Rattus norvegicus: one gene and its partners. The protein of the gene in region 1 binds, or shares a complex with, the protein of each later gene. Links are inferred from orthologs where the notes say so. Each region holds a gene or a part of one and is shown in the gene's direction. Other genes may lie near its edges.

Evidence for each region. The genes of interacting proteins can lie anywhere in the genome.
Region 2: the proteins of Pparg (region 1) and Crebbp are in contact, whole or in part, in a crystal structure (PDB 7RLE), measured with the Homo sapiens proteins. The link is inferred for Rattus norvegicus from reciprocal best matches to the Homo sapiens genes PPARG and CREBBP. Residues at the interface, in NP_056953.2 of Homo sapiens: Val321, Gln322, Thr325, Glu326, Lys329, Phe334, Val335, Leu339, Asn340, Gln342, Val343, Thr344, Leu346, Lys347, Leu496, Glu499, Ile500, Lys502; in NP_004371.2 of Homo sapiens: Asp62, Ala63, Ala64, Lys66, His67, Lys68, Gln69, Leu70, Ser71, Leu73, Leu74, Arg75.
Region 3: the proteins of Pparg (region 1) and Nfkbib are in contact, whole or in part, in a crystal structure (PDB 9CK0), measured with the Homo sapiens proteins. The link is inferred for Rattus norvegicus from reciprocal best matches to the Homo sapiens genes PPARG and NFKBIB. Residues at the interface, in NP_056953.2 of Homo sapiens: Gln322, Thr325, Lys329, Phe334, Leu339, Gln342, Val343, Leu346, Lys347, Leu496, Glu499, Ile500; in NP_002494.2 of Homo sapiens: Asn286, Pro287, Ile288, Leu289, Ala290, Leu292, Leu293, Arg294, Ala295.

Annotation. Positions count from the first base shown.
Region 1 is NC_086022.1:150,094,294-150,098,930, forward strand, and holds the start of Pparg (peroxisome proliferator-activated receptor gamma), read left to right. Parts: upstream 1-1,537; 5' UTR 1,538-1,841; intron 1,842-2,764; exon of another isoform or gene 2,765-2,890; intron 2,891-4,637. UniProt on the Homo sapiens protein: Nuclear receptor that binds peroxisome proliferators such as hypolipidemic drugs and fatty acids.
Region 2 is NC_086028.1:11,840,798-11,845,514, forward strand, and holds the start of Crebbp (histone lysine acetyltransferase CREBBP), read left to right. Parts: upstream 1-1,542; 5' UTR 1,543-1,565; coding exon 1,566-1,650; intron 1,651-4,717. UniProt on the Homo sapiens protein: Acetylates histones, giving a specific tag for transcriptional activation. Mediates acetylation of histone H3 at 'Lys-18' and 'Lys-27' (H3K18ac and H3K27ac, respectively).
Region 3 is NC_086019.1:93,178,213-93,182,674, reverse strand, and holds the start of Nfkbib (NF-kappa-B inhibitor beta), read left to right. Parts: upstream 1-1,287; 5' UTR 1,288-1,546; coding exon 1,547-1,725; intron 1,726-4,462. Other genes in the region: Sirt2 (NAD-dependent protein deacetylase sirtuin-2), read right to left, coding at 303-349, 1,103-1,118. UniProt on the Homo sapiens protein: Inhibits NF-kappa-B by complexing with and trapping it in the cytoplasm.

The DNA of each region.
Region 1 (4,637 bases):
GGTATGATATTTGAATCTTAGATTATATGAATTATATTTCAATAAAGATATTAAACTGACACAAGGGGATAAGCCTCAGGAGAATCACAGTGAGTTCAAGGCAGCCAGGGCAACATAGCAAAACCTTTTCAAAAAGCTTAGTCAAAAGTTCAAAACAAAAACAAAACAAAAGTAGATCGGAACTCCTGCATGAGCAAGAAGTTGGCTACATATTTACTACATACATGTACACACATGCGTACTTCCCGCTGAGTGTGGGATGCTGACCCAAGTCAACATGATTACTTACTGACAGGCATAGAAATGGAGTCTCTGTGTGGTTAGTAAAATGGGCTTTAGAGTCCCTATATGAACCTGATCTGTGTCTTATTATTTGAGGGCTTTAGGGTGGAAGGACATGAATCTGTTGATTCAAGCTCTGAGCTTTCATTATAGTGTCATACTTACAAACCCCTGGTGAGGATGTTTAGTACCAGAAGAATAAAGAATTCCCTGTCTCCCAACAAACAAAGATGCTAAGAGTGGAGGAGCATCCTGAGCAAGAAGCACAATTATAAACTCCCAAAGGTCAGTACCTCCCAAAGGAGAGCCATAGAACAAGATTTTCATCAATAAGATTGGAAAGGGTAAAAGAAAGTCCTCTGGTGTCCTGAACATCGACGGCTTTCTGAATGTGCATCTTTAGGACAGATCATGACAGAAAGAGCTGAAAGAGGGCAAGAAAAGGAACTGTCCATCATGCATGCTTCAGGCTCCTGAGACAAGATGCTCCAAAATTCTAACTAAAAACAAGAGATTCCCAAGTCCTTTCCACACTGTGTGTAAGGTCCCCCATGCAAGAAATGGTGCTAAAGAATTCTAAAAATTCTTAATTGTTCTTTAGTGAACAAGGTTAACAAATAGTTTGAGGGCAGGAGAGACAGCTCAGAGGTTAGGAACACTTAGTGTTTGTCCAGAGGACCCTTGTTCAGTTCCCAGCACCAACCAACCACTTGTAACTCCAGCCCCAGAGAGACCATGCCTCTCAGTACACATACACACACACACACACACAAAATTGTATTTAAAAGGAAATTAAATGGTTAACACAAAGTCAGTTTATGAAGGTGTTCTCCTTCATATTGTTCTGAGAGTAAAAATAAAAATAAAAAGAGATCCTAAATATACTTAATTTATATTATTATTGTTATTATTATTATTTTTAAATGTTACTGAAAAGTACATCTAGAAAAAAACAAACTTCTGCGTGACAGTCAGGGCACCAGCCGGGCCATGGGCATCTGTCTGAGGAACGTGGGACCTTCTTGGGTCGCCTCCCAGCGACTGTGAGGAGCAAGGCGGCCAGGTAACCAGCGCGGGGTGCCGGGCGCTGAAGAGCCACGCGGGTCTCGTGGGCGCCGGCCTCTGGTTGCGGGTGCGGGGCCTCCGGCCTCTCCCTGGGCACCGCCCCCGGTCCGGCCGGGTCGCTCAGCTCGGCTCGTCCGCGGCCAGGCGGGGCGGTCGCACTCGGAGCGGCCGCCGCCTGGGGCGCTCGGGTCGGGTCGGCCGCACGGACGCACATTGCCCGCCAAGCCGCCGCCTCAGGTCAGAGTCGCCCCGGGCCACAAGGCCCGCCGCAGGGACGCTGAAGAAGAGACCTGGGGCGCCGCACTGGGGTACCGGGTCGTGTGAGGCCTGAGGGGACTGAGTGTGACGACAAGGTGACCAGGCTGAGGGGACGGGCTGAGGAGAAGTCATACTCAGACAGGACCCGGTGAGACTGACAGCCTGACGAGGTCTCTCTCGGCTGAGGGGACGCGGGCTGAGAAGTCACTTTCTGACCGGACTGTGTGACAGACAAGGTGAGGGGGCCTCGGCCTGTGGGGACTGGATCTGACTGTCTAGGTGACTGGGTCTCGGCTGAGGGGACGCGGGATGAGGAGAAGCCACTCTCTGTCAGGACTGTGTAACTGACAGCCTAATCCTGTCTCAACTAGAGGGGACGTGGGCTGGAAAGTCGCACTCTGACAGGACGGAGCGTGACAGACAAAGTGACGGAATCTTAACTGAGGGGACTGAGGAGAAGTCATACTCTTGACAGGACCAAATGTGACAGACAAGGTGATCGAGTCTGGGTCTGAGGGGGATGCGGTCTGAGGAGAAGTCACTTAGGAGAAGAGTGAGAGAGCGTGATAGCGGGGCGGGGTCGGAGTGAGGGGTCTCGGCTGAGGACCGGTCACCCGCCTAGAGAGCCGAGTGTGACTGACAAGGTGAATGTCCTCGTGAGGGGCACGGCCCGGCAGGCCCGGAGGGCCACAGTGGAGCCACCTCAGGTTTCCTCAGAAGGTGCTCCGGCAGGCGTGTGCGAGCTCGGAGCAGGGTAGCCCGGGCAGCCCGACCCTGACAGGAAAGCCAGGTCTCCGCACGGTCCAGAACTCCCGCGGGAGGCCGCATTGTGTGGATCTGGTGACAGTTTTCAGAGAGGGGCTCGCCAGTAGCCACCGGGTACCCCGAGGCGCTGGGGGTGGGGGGAGGAGGGTGCGCCGGTGATCGTCTAAGCAACTTGGCCCGGGGCTCCCGCCCGCCCGGGGCTCGCCAGGTGTGAGGAAAATGGGGTCACTGTCGCCAAGGCCCCGCCCCACCAGTGCCCCTCTTCAGCCTAGGAAGGGGGCGAGCACAGGGCAGGGCTAACTGGAGTAGGCAGCCCTCGTGGTGGGGGTGGAAGGTGGGTGTGTGGCTCCGGTGCTTTATGGCTTGGGAGTGGGGAGGAGCCTAAGGTGAGGAGGCAGAAACTGGGAGTAGCCTGGGCTGCTTTTATATAAGGGACTCGAGGAGGTCAAGAAGGGGCCTGGACCTCTGCTGGTGATCAGAAGGCTGCAGCGCTAAATTCATCTTAACTCCCATTGAGTAGGTGAGTGGCTGCATCGTCATGGCACTTTGTTAGAGGGTGTTGTGAAGTGGCCAAACTGCCCCAAGTTCTTACACATCAGGATGGTTTGGCTGTGTTCTTGTACTGTAAGAATCTGCTTCGCTTCTGATGCTAACGGTGGGAAGGTCGTGTCATTTACTTCAGGAGGAGGAAAAAAATCAAGAGTTGAGTTTTCTGTCAGGCAGAAGCTAAAGTTGTTCTTCTTTAGCAGAATGAAGGACAAAAATGTAAATTGAAATGATCATTTGAAAACAAAACCAGATGAACCAAGTTGGAGGGTAACTAACAGTTGGAAAGCCTCTTTCTTGATTTGGAGTTCATTATCATAATGTCAACTCTTTATTATCATGCACAAAGCAAATTGTTAACCGGAGTTATTAAATGAATAACTTAGTCTTGGACTTGGGCAGGTCTTCCAAAGATATCAGGTGCTCTGTGGGAGTCCTCCTGTCCATAGCTAAGTGATCAACTGCTGACTAAAAATATAGCTAGGTCCAGGTGCTATGTGATTTAAAGCCTGGCTAGGGTAGGAGCTGACATACATTGTGACTTCTCAAAGAGATACTTCTCTTGAATGTTTAACAGACGCGCTCATAGATGCTAAGAGCACTTGGAAGCGATGTTTCAGAAGATTCGGTTTCGACTTTAAAATAAGTTCTCTGTGGCCTTATCTTCAACCGCATTTGCTCTAAAGTAAATGTCCAAAATATTAATTTTAATATACGGAAATTTGAAGTCAGTGTCATGCATTAGTTGGAGTGAAGCATATTACAAAGCCATCCATTTTTATTTTACTGTGTGTTTTGTGTGAATTTGCTCGTTTAAGTGCTACCTCAATATTTTAATTTGCTGAGACTTGTATCTTCAGTGAGAAGATCTGAAAAGCAACTGGTGGCCATCTCAATATTCTGCAGCTCACTAGAAGGGAAAAGATTGTCGACAGTTTTATTTTTAAGGAAAAAAATCTTTTTCATATGTAAAAGTTTCAAACTCTTAAAACTGCTGAAGAACAATGGCGCCGTGAAGTCTGAAGTTCTGGGTACCTCTAGACCAAGGAGTTTTTACATGCTGTGTCCTCACCCTTTCATATCTAAAAGAATATAAGCTCTTTAAAACAAATTAGAACTAAAAGACCCAGAAGCATCATACACATCAATATTTAAGACTACTTTGATGGTTTTTGTGATAACTATTTTTAATAATTCAGTACATTTCCTTTAAAGGAACTGGTTTTCTTAGCATTCACGTCACTACATATCTCAGCGTCACTTTAACAAAAAAGGGAAAGTCACACTAAAAAAAAAATCATATCATTAGTTTCAAAGTCCCTTTGACATTTAAAATTCATATATGATAAAAGCATGACTTTACATTTTTGACGTAGAAATGGATTACTGAGTATGCAAGTGATTGTGTTCAGTTAGTAAGTTTTACATATTTAAACAAATGATTTTTTTTTCACTTTTAAGTCTCTGAAAAGAAGAGTATGCCATCAGTCTTCTCAAGATCCTTCTGTGTGGGCCCTGTGAAAACATGAATATGGATTAGCAACGTATTTAAGTTACTTTTCAGATTATGAAGTGGTTGCTAATAGCAGGAGACTTTCATAAAAATTTTGTTAAAATAACTTTTCTAAAAGATTCAGTATTTTCACAGCTTTCATGGGCTCTATAGGTGCCCGGTGTGTATGGCACAACATGTGGTCATTCTAATTTGTGTCTTTCTGCTG
Region 2 (4,717 bases), on another chromosome or scaffold:
ATGGCACCCGGGCCCTTCTCAGATCCAGGAGGTAGAGCCGACAGCTTCTTCCTTCAGGTGACAGCGTTGGACCTGGCTCCAATCGTTTTGGGCTTGGGAGTGGACACTAAAAAGCCTCGCAGTGCCCTTGCTAAACTTGGGGAGAACAAGGGGTGGACTCTTGTCCAGTCATATTCTCCCTGGTGATCTCGGAAAAAAGTTGCTTTTCCCCCTTCCTGCCTCAGTTTCCCTATCTGCACACAGAGCTGAGGACCTTCTGTAACCTGCAGGCGCCACTAAGCCATCACTAACAGGGCGAGGGGAAGAGGCGCAGGTTGCTCAGGCGTCTTCCCAGTCCGATGTCACACTGGAGGCTTGCGAGCTAGGAGGCGAGGAGCCAGCTGCGAAGAGGGAGAGCTGCCGGGGCAGGACCGGACGGGCAGGGCCCGGATCAGCGCCGACTCCGCGCCCAGGGGCCTAGGCTCGAGCCCAGGGCGCCCTCCCCGCTCGTGCCGCCTTTCTGACACCGTCAGAACAAAAGTGGCCGTCTGCTTTGCGCCCTTCGCGTCCCGCAGGCCCGGCCCAGCGCCTCAGCCCGTCGCCTCACGCACTGCCGCCGCGCCTTCGACCCTTCCACCCGAGCGCACTCGGCTCTTTCCGCCGCGGCCGGCGCAGGTGGAGGGGGCGGGGCGGGGGCCGTGCGTGGTGACGCCGCGGGGGGTGACGTACAGGCGTGCCCCGCCCCCTCCCCCTCCCCGTTCAGGCTCTGGAAAGAGAAGAAAAAAAACTTTCTTTTTTTTTTAATTGAGGAATCAACAGCCGCCATCTTGTCGCGGATCCGACCGGGGCTTCGAGCGCGATCTACTCGGCCCCGCCGGTCCCGGGCCCCACAACCGCCCGCGCACCCCGCTCTGCCTGGCCGGCCCGCTCCGCCCGGCCCTCGGCGCCCGCCCCGGCGGCCCCGCTCGCCTCTCGTCTCGGCCTCCCGGAGCCCGGCGGCGGCCGCGGCGGCGGCGGCGGCCGCGGCGGCGGCGGCACGGGGTGGGGGGGCCGCGGCGCGGCGGCGGCCCCGCTCGGCGCATTGTTTTTCCTCACGGCGGCGGCGGGCCGCGGGCGGGCGGCGGAGCCCAGAGCCCCCCGGTCGTCCGGCCGCGGGCGAATTCATTAAGTGGGGCGCGCGCGGTGGGGGGGCAGCGAGGCGGCGGCGGCGGTACCACCATGTTCCCGGGCGCCGCCTGAGCCGCGGGGCCGGGCGCCGTCGCTGCCAGCCGGGCCCGCGGAGGCGGCCGGGCCGCTTGGGTGCCCGGGCCGCGGAGTGTCGCGCTCGGGAGGCGGGCAGGGGATGAGGGGGCCGCGGCCGGCGGCGGCGGCGGCGGCCGGGGGCGGGCGGTGAGCGCTGCGGGGCGCTGTTGCTGAGGCTGAGATTTGGCCGCCGCCTCCCCCACCCGGCCTGCGCCCTCCGCGGCCCGGCCCGCGCTCCTGCGCTCGCTCTTCGCTGGCTAGCCTGCTCGCTGCCGCCGGCCCGACCCCCGTCCGGGCCGCGTCGCGCCGCCCGCGCTTAGGGCTGTTTCCGCGAGCAGGTGAAGATGGCCGAGAACTTGCTGGACGGACCGCCCAACCCCAAACGAGCCAAACTCAGCTCGCCCGGCTTCTCCGCGAATGACAGCACAGGTGAGGTTGGCCAGGCTCGCTGTCAAGAATCCGCCGTGGGGAGGGAGCTGAGGGTCGCAGTGGCGGGAGACTCTGTCCCGGGCCTTGGATGCGCTTCCCTGCTGGGGAGGAAAAGTGAAGCGGGGGCGCGGCCGAGTGTCCGCACGCGTGGCCGGCCAGGATGACAGCGGAGGGGACCTTGGAGGTTTGGAGTGAGAGAATGCGACCAGAGGTAATGAAAGCTTTCAGGATCGGAACCCCACTCTAGGCGCTGCAGTCGCGGACACAGCTGCTGCCTTCTTACGAGTTGCGACTGAGAAGTTTCTTGGAATGTGTTGCTTGGGAAAACGCTTAGTGGTTATTTAGAAACTCTTGATTTTTTTTTTTTTGATCACCTAGTATTTTTTTTTTCAAAACCCCAAACCTCACTTGCGAGTTGTCATCAAAGTTGCTGTGGTGTCTTTCATTTACATACGTAACCTTAAAAAGAAGCTAGCAGGCTTTTAAAAGTCCATTTGGCCTCAGTCTGCCTTTGAGGTTGAGATGGTTTTACAGTGAAGATGTAAAATTAAAAAAATTAAGGACTTTAAATCTTTCAGGGAAAAAGAAAAAAGCGAGATACTCTTAAATCTTTTCCCCGACTCACTAAATAGCTTCCTTTCAAACTTTCTTAGGTGATCGTATCAGGTCGCCAAGAGTTTTCTGTTCGTTCAGTAATTCAGAGTTCTCTGGATAGCTCTATGATAACCTTGCCAATGATTCGAATTTCCTCTTTTAAGCTCTTCTTCCAAATTAAAAAAAGAAAAAGAAAAAAAAACTTGTACGCTGCTGCAAACAATGCCGGCTTAGCGCAGCTAGCATTTCTCTAGTACGTACTTGTAGCGGCATCTGAAAACCAGTTTCTGATGAATGGGTCGAAATCAAATTACATTGCTGCCTGCAGATTGGCGCTAGACACAGATGTTCAAGTTGTGGAACTTTATGCGACTTTATATAAGAATATTAAAAATATTTCTACTGTGAAACAAAGCTTCGATTTCATGGCTTCAGTTTGAATAGTATTCCTGGAATCCAGTCATGAAAGGAGACGGGTAACATTGGTTAATGTAGAAATGAGAGGGGAGTGTTCTCCCTCCTCCATCACTTTTCAGAAGATTTTTGTTGACTTAAAACTTGTTGAGCAGTAGGAAGGAGTAAATAAGTGAACGATTCATAGGTAGGTAGGGAAAAGCCACTGATGGTGCTTTTACTTTTAAATGACAAGTTGAGTTTGATGTTTATTTTCATAAAGATCTTAACTTATTGATGAGAATTGTGGAAACGGTGGTTAAGTACACTTCTACAGAATAGAGCTGGCTCCCTTGCTTTAGTAATCTTGCTATGCTTGAGCCAGAAGACTGTAATCATGTGAAATGTAGATCATACCAGACAAGTTTCGTCCTGAAGTTTATCCTCTGACACTGGTAACTTGAAGACTTTACAGCTTTGCTGTTACAGAGTGAGGTTGTTGTAGATTTTTTTCTTAAAGTGGGGCAAATTAATAAGACCATAAAAAGGCCTGTAGTATCTTATAAATCCAGAAGTTTACAAGATGGAACCCAAAAGATGGCTTCTCCTCCTCTTCTTCCTCCTCTTCCTCCTCCTCTTCTTCCTCCTCTTCTTCCTCCTCCTCTTCTTCTTCTTCTCTCTCCTTCTCCTCCTCTTTTTTATTTATTTATTTTTTTTTTTGCACAGCTTCTCTAACTGGACCGTCGGATATTAATGTGTTGCTAACCAGAGCAGAACTTATCAGAAAGGATCTTCTGCACTTAAGCACTTTGTCCTTTTCCAATTTTTACCCAGGAGAAGCCGAATTGTACTTTCACATTTACAAATATATGAAACAAACAGTAGCAGTTTCTAATGATTCTGATTTAAATGATCAGAGAATAAGATGGCATTCATATTTGAGTCTTTGGTTCCATGAAATGCATCATCACATTGTCTTGTGCTCTGAGGAAGGAGCCATTATTGAATACAGTAAATGAGGTGAAACCTTGTTAAGAATAACTATTAGTCTAAGATCCAGTAATGAGATAGACAGACCTTAAAGATGTAAGTTAAGCAAATAAATGGCTGAGGTATATACGTTAAATATGTTTAAAACAGTGAAGGCTGGAATAGAGACAGATAACATTATTGAGAAAAATTCAATCTTGTTTTATTGAGGAATTGTATCTCAGGCCTCAGAGAGGAGATTGGGCTGGGGTAGGCAAGGTGTGTGTTCTGAGCACTAATTTGAGGGAGGGAATACAAGGAGAGGGAGCAGAGAGTCCTAGCACTGAGAAACAGCTGCTGCTTGAACTATTGTGATACAGGCCACATCTTTGGGGACTGTGTTGTGAATCCATCAAGTGCATTTTAGTTGTGTTTTTAGGGATGATTGTGTGGAAAAGAGAGTGCCCTTGTTAAAGAGGGAAGCTTCCCAGGCCTACGGAGTACTTGAAGTTCACCAAGGGGAGTGTCCATGTATGCATAAACCACTCCACTAGGGGCCAGGCAGTATCTGAGTGATGATTGCCTTTGTTACTCAAGATGGGGGAGAGCACACAGAGGAAGAGGGAAGGTGCCTGGAGGAGGGTAGCAAGAGGAAGGAGAAACTGCTCTTCATCTCACCACAGGCACTTCTGGAGTGGCAGAGAGTCAGACTGTATCAGATGGTGGTGAGATACTGTTTTCTTGTTCTGTGTTGAAGTGTCAAGCACTTTGTGAGAAGCAGGGGACTGACTTTATGTTATGAGTATGTAGTTGGTCATGTATTTTGGACTTTCTCTTGATATGTCCAAATTAAAATAGCTTACTTTAGAATCTTTTAACACCATAGATTCATTGATTGAACAGTATAGAAAATAATAAATACTCAGGCAAATAGGCTTTTTTTTTTTTGCAAATGGCTTTTTTAAAACATACATAATTGGCAGTTCATACATTTATGAAGGTGGTTTTTTTATTATTTATATTTTTCTGTTTGGTTTGCCTGTTTTTTGTTTTTGAGGCTGATTAATTCAGACTGGCTGGAATTTGCTATATGAACTCTGGATCCTCCTGT
Region 3 (4,462 bases), on another chromosome or scaffold:
GGAACACTGTCTTTTCCAGGTCTAGCACAAATGAGGTTCAGAAGGGATTGAGGATAGGCGGGGCAACAATAGGAGATGAGGACAATATGGAAGGGAACCAGGGGTTGAGGCTATACATTTTCCTTGACAGTCCCCAGAAGCCGCCATTCTCCCAGGAGCTGTACTAATCCCCAGATGGGTTTAGGGATCAGGGCCATAAGCCAAGGGCCCTTGGGTAAAAGCCTTCCCTTGCACCTCCCCCAGTGCGGCATGTGGAACCACGTCCATTTCTCTCCTTCCCTCCACCCTTTTCCCCATCTCACCTGAGCCTCCTGCACCTTCCCTGCCTGGTTCTCCAGAGGGTCAGAGGCTGGGGAGGAGGGGGAGCAGACGTGGTTACAGTGGGGGGAAATAGTTAAGCAGATGAAGGGTTCACAGTGGTGGAGGCGACAATAGGACCCACCAACCTAATTATCCTGGAGTCATGGATGGTAGTAAAACTATTGGAGATGGGGAAAGGCATGTTTTAGAGTGGAGGAATGTGTGAGGAGGGGAAGGTTTGGGAGGAAAAAGCAGGTGAAACGGGACTGAAGGAAGGTTTCAGAGTTAAGCAGGATAAGGTAGCGAGTGCGAGCCAGGAGAATGAGGGAGGGCTAAGTTTTTCAAGAGATGTTAAGTAGGGATACTTCTGCTGAGAGTTGAGTGTGGGAGAGGAGATGCAGTGAAGGTGGGAGGTTTAGGAGAGGCACAAGAACTGAAGGAATGAGATAGAAAGGGGCCGCAGGGGTCCCCAAACATACTATAGTTGCCCTTAACAACAGGCAACCTTAGCAACCGGGATCGTGGTAACTTTGGTCCTTAGCAACGAGGGTCCTCAGCAACCAAAGTGCGAGAAACGCGATCATTCAAAACTTTGCAAATGGACCCTTAAATTTCACAATCCAGAAACCCACCAACCTAGCAATATCGACCACTTAGCAACAGCCCTCCGAATCCCACTCCCTTCAGGCAGCCTCTGTCTCCCACCCCACCGACCTGCCCGCGGGCCCCGGGGCCTGCAGCCCAAAGCCAGGCCCCGGCGCGGCCCGACCCTCCCACCCTCCCACCAGGGCCCCTAACTCACGGTCCGGCTCGGCCATGGGAACGGGGTGGGGGCTCTCGGGACTGTCACCGACTGCTCTGTCCCGTGACGGCAGCGGAAACAAGAAGGAGCCGAGAGAGGATAGAAAAATACAACTCCCGACAGGCAACGCGGTCCCGTAACCGCTTTCATACGGTGCTCCCCTCACGTTATCAAACTACAAATCCCAAAAGGCTTGGCGCCGGCGGCCATATTAATAAAGGGCGTCTGGAAAATCTGGGGAAACTCAGCGAGCGAATGTCCATCTCATTATTCTGATTGGTTCTGGTGCAGTACAGAGGCGGGGTGTGGCTATTTAACACAGTTTGATTGGGTATATGAGGGGGCGTGTTGGGGAATTCCCAATAGGGCGGAAGCGCTGGAGCTCTCGGCAGAACCCAGCGTCAGGCAGGCGACCGCAGGGGGCCACCCGAGGTGGCAGGGGCAATGGCCGGGGTCGCGTGCTTGGGGAAAACTGCAGACGCCGATGAATGGTGCGACAGTGGCCTGGGCTCTCTAGGTCCCGACGCAGCAGCTCCCGGAGGACCAGGTCTGGTCGCAGAGCTTAGCCCAGAGCTGTCTTGGGCGCCCTTAGTCTTTGGCTACGTCACTGAGGATGGGGACACGTGAGTAAACCTTAAATTACCAATTTACCCTAGGGATCTTACCTGAGTCTCCATTAGCCTATGATTTCTGTGGCTTCTTATCTTCTCGTTCCTAACTCTGATTTCTGATGCTGGACTTCCTGACCCATAACCACCAATCACTAAATTGTGAGACTAGTCCGTTTTCACTCACAGTCAAGTGTCTCAACTTTTCTGAACTCTTAAATTTGAGCTTACGATCCCCAAATCGGGTCTGAACCTTTCTGACCACTCTAGTTCCCACATCTTCTGACCTCTTGCTTCCAGATGTGGTCTTTGGTCTTTGGCTATTCTTGTATAAGCCAGATTTTGATTTCCAAAATTAATTCTTGACCCTGAGTCTACGACGCTGACACATCCAGCACTGACCCTGCAATTGAGAAACCGAGCTACTGGGTGTCATGGGCCTCACAGAAGTTGGGAGGCAAAGGCAGGTTGATCTCTGTGAGTTTGGGGCCACCTGATTGAGATGCCGGCCAGCCAGAGCTACATAAAATTTAGAAGCTCGATTCTATGAAGATGGATTCATCTGTTAGCCAAACGTCTCTCCCTAACTACCACCTTTCAATCCCTGGTTTTAGTTTAGCTGAATGTGGTGGTACACACTTGTCATCCCAGCTCTTAAGGGGCTGAGGCAGGAGGATTGCTAGTCTGAGGAGAGCCTGGGAAGACCGGTATCAAAAAGGAGGGATAAGGAAAAGGAGGAGAGGGAGCCTGGGGGGGGGGTGTGGAGCAGGAAATGTTGATTAGTAGATAAACTGGGGAGAAGGGATGGCTGTGGTGACAGTGTGTGTAAGGGAGTGTACCCGGGATTTTCTTGTCCTTTGTGCTCATTGCGTATACCCAGTGACTCAGTGCCTGACCCATGAGGGGAACCCAATAAACACTCATCTTAAAGAGCCAGGAGTAGTTTCCTTAATTTTCTAATTTTTCACTTTCTACTTTATTGGCCCTTGTTCCTTTATTGTTTCCCTCTGGTTATTTAATTTTTGTAATTTCTTTATCCTTTTTTTTTTTTTTTTTGTTCTTTTTTTCGGAGCTGGGGACCGAACCCAGGGCCTTGCGCTTCCTAGGCAAGCGCTCTACCACTGAGCTAAATCCCCAACCCCCCTCTTTTTTTTTTTTTTTTTGTTTTGTTTTGTTTTGTTTTGCTTGTTTGTTTTTGACAGTCTTGTGTAGCCCATGCTAGCCTTCAGGTTGTAGCTGAGGATGGCTTTGAACTTTTCATTCTCCTGTGTCCACCTCCCAAGTGTGTATCACTACATCCAGCTCAGGGATGTGCGTGTGTGTGTGTGTGTGTGTGTGTGTGTGTGTGTGTGTGTGTGTGTTCGCACTAACCACATAGGCTAGACTAGCTGGCCTGAGAGAACCTTGTCTCTTGCTCCCCACCCTCCTCCTCCTCTTTGAGACAGGGTGGCTGACCTGGAACTCACTATGTAGACCAGACTGGCCTCAAACTCATAAAGATCCATCTGCCTCTATGTCCTGAGTGCTGGGACCAAAGGTGTGCGCCTCTGTGCTCTACTCCAGGGATCTCCTAGTGTTAGGATTATAAATACTTACAACCACACCCAGCTTTTTTTTATGTGGGTTCTGAACTAAGGTCACTGTGCTTTACTTACAAAATAGTTCCCCAGCCACCCACTCCACCCCCTTTTTCGTCAGTGTCTTACTATGTAGCCCAGGCTAGCCTTGAACACTACTGTAAAAAATAATAAAAATAATTGATTCAGCCATTTAGCTCCCAACAAGGACTCTGGCACTAATTATTCATTAATAAATGCCTTGGCTACAAGCTTTGGCTCATTCCCTGGCTAACTTATAACCTATTTAACGCATTCAAACTATCCTATGTCTTCCACGTGGTTACCTTTCCTGCAGTCTCCAGCCTGCCTCTTCCTTAGCGTCGTCTTTCTCAGTGTCTCAGTGACCCCTCCAGTGCCTCTCCCTGCATCTCCCTTTTTTCCTCACCATTTCCCAGAATTCTCTCTCTCTTCCTGGCAGTGTCCCACCTGTTTCCTCCCTCAGCTCATTGGCCATAGGCTTTTTTTTATCGACAGGTGTTGCCTTTAAGAAATTCTGTCCACACTATGAAACTTGTCTTTGGTTTATTTTATTTTATTTGTTTTTTGTTGTTGTTGTTTTTTGTTTTTGTTTTTGTTTTGAGATAGGGTTTCTCTGTGTAGCCCAGACTGTCCCAGAACTCTTTCTGCAGACCAAACTGGCCTTGAACTCAGAGATACATTTGCCATTACCTTCCAAATAATTTACTTTATGCGTATGACTGTTTTACCTGTGTACATGTATGTGGACTGTGTTTGTGCTTGTTGGAGCCCCTGGAACTGGAGGTAGGGATGGCTGTGAGCCACAATGTAGGTGCTGGAAATCAAGTCTGGGTCCTCTGCAAGAGCAACAAGTGGTTTTTTTGTTTTTAAAGGTTTATTTATTTATTATATATAAGTACACTGTAGCTGTCTTCAGACACACCAGAAGAGGGCATCAGACCCCATTACAGATGGTTGGGAGCCACCATGTGGTTGCTGGGAATTGAACTCAAGACCTCTGGAAGAGCAATCAGTGCTCTTAACTGCTGAGCCATCCCTCCTACCCTAGCCTTAAACTCTTGGCCTTCCTGCCTGGGATTCCAGGCAAGGTGGTGCAAGGCTGGTTTCTGCAGAGTTGGGGTTGAGCCTTATGTGTGCTAAGCTAGCACTCCCAA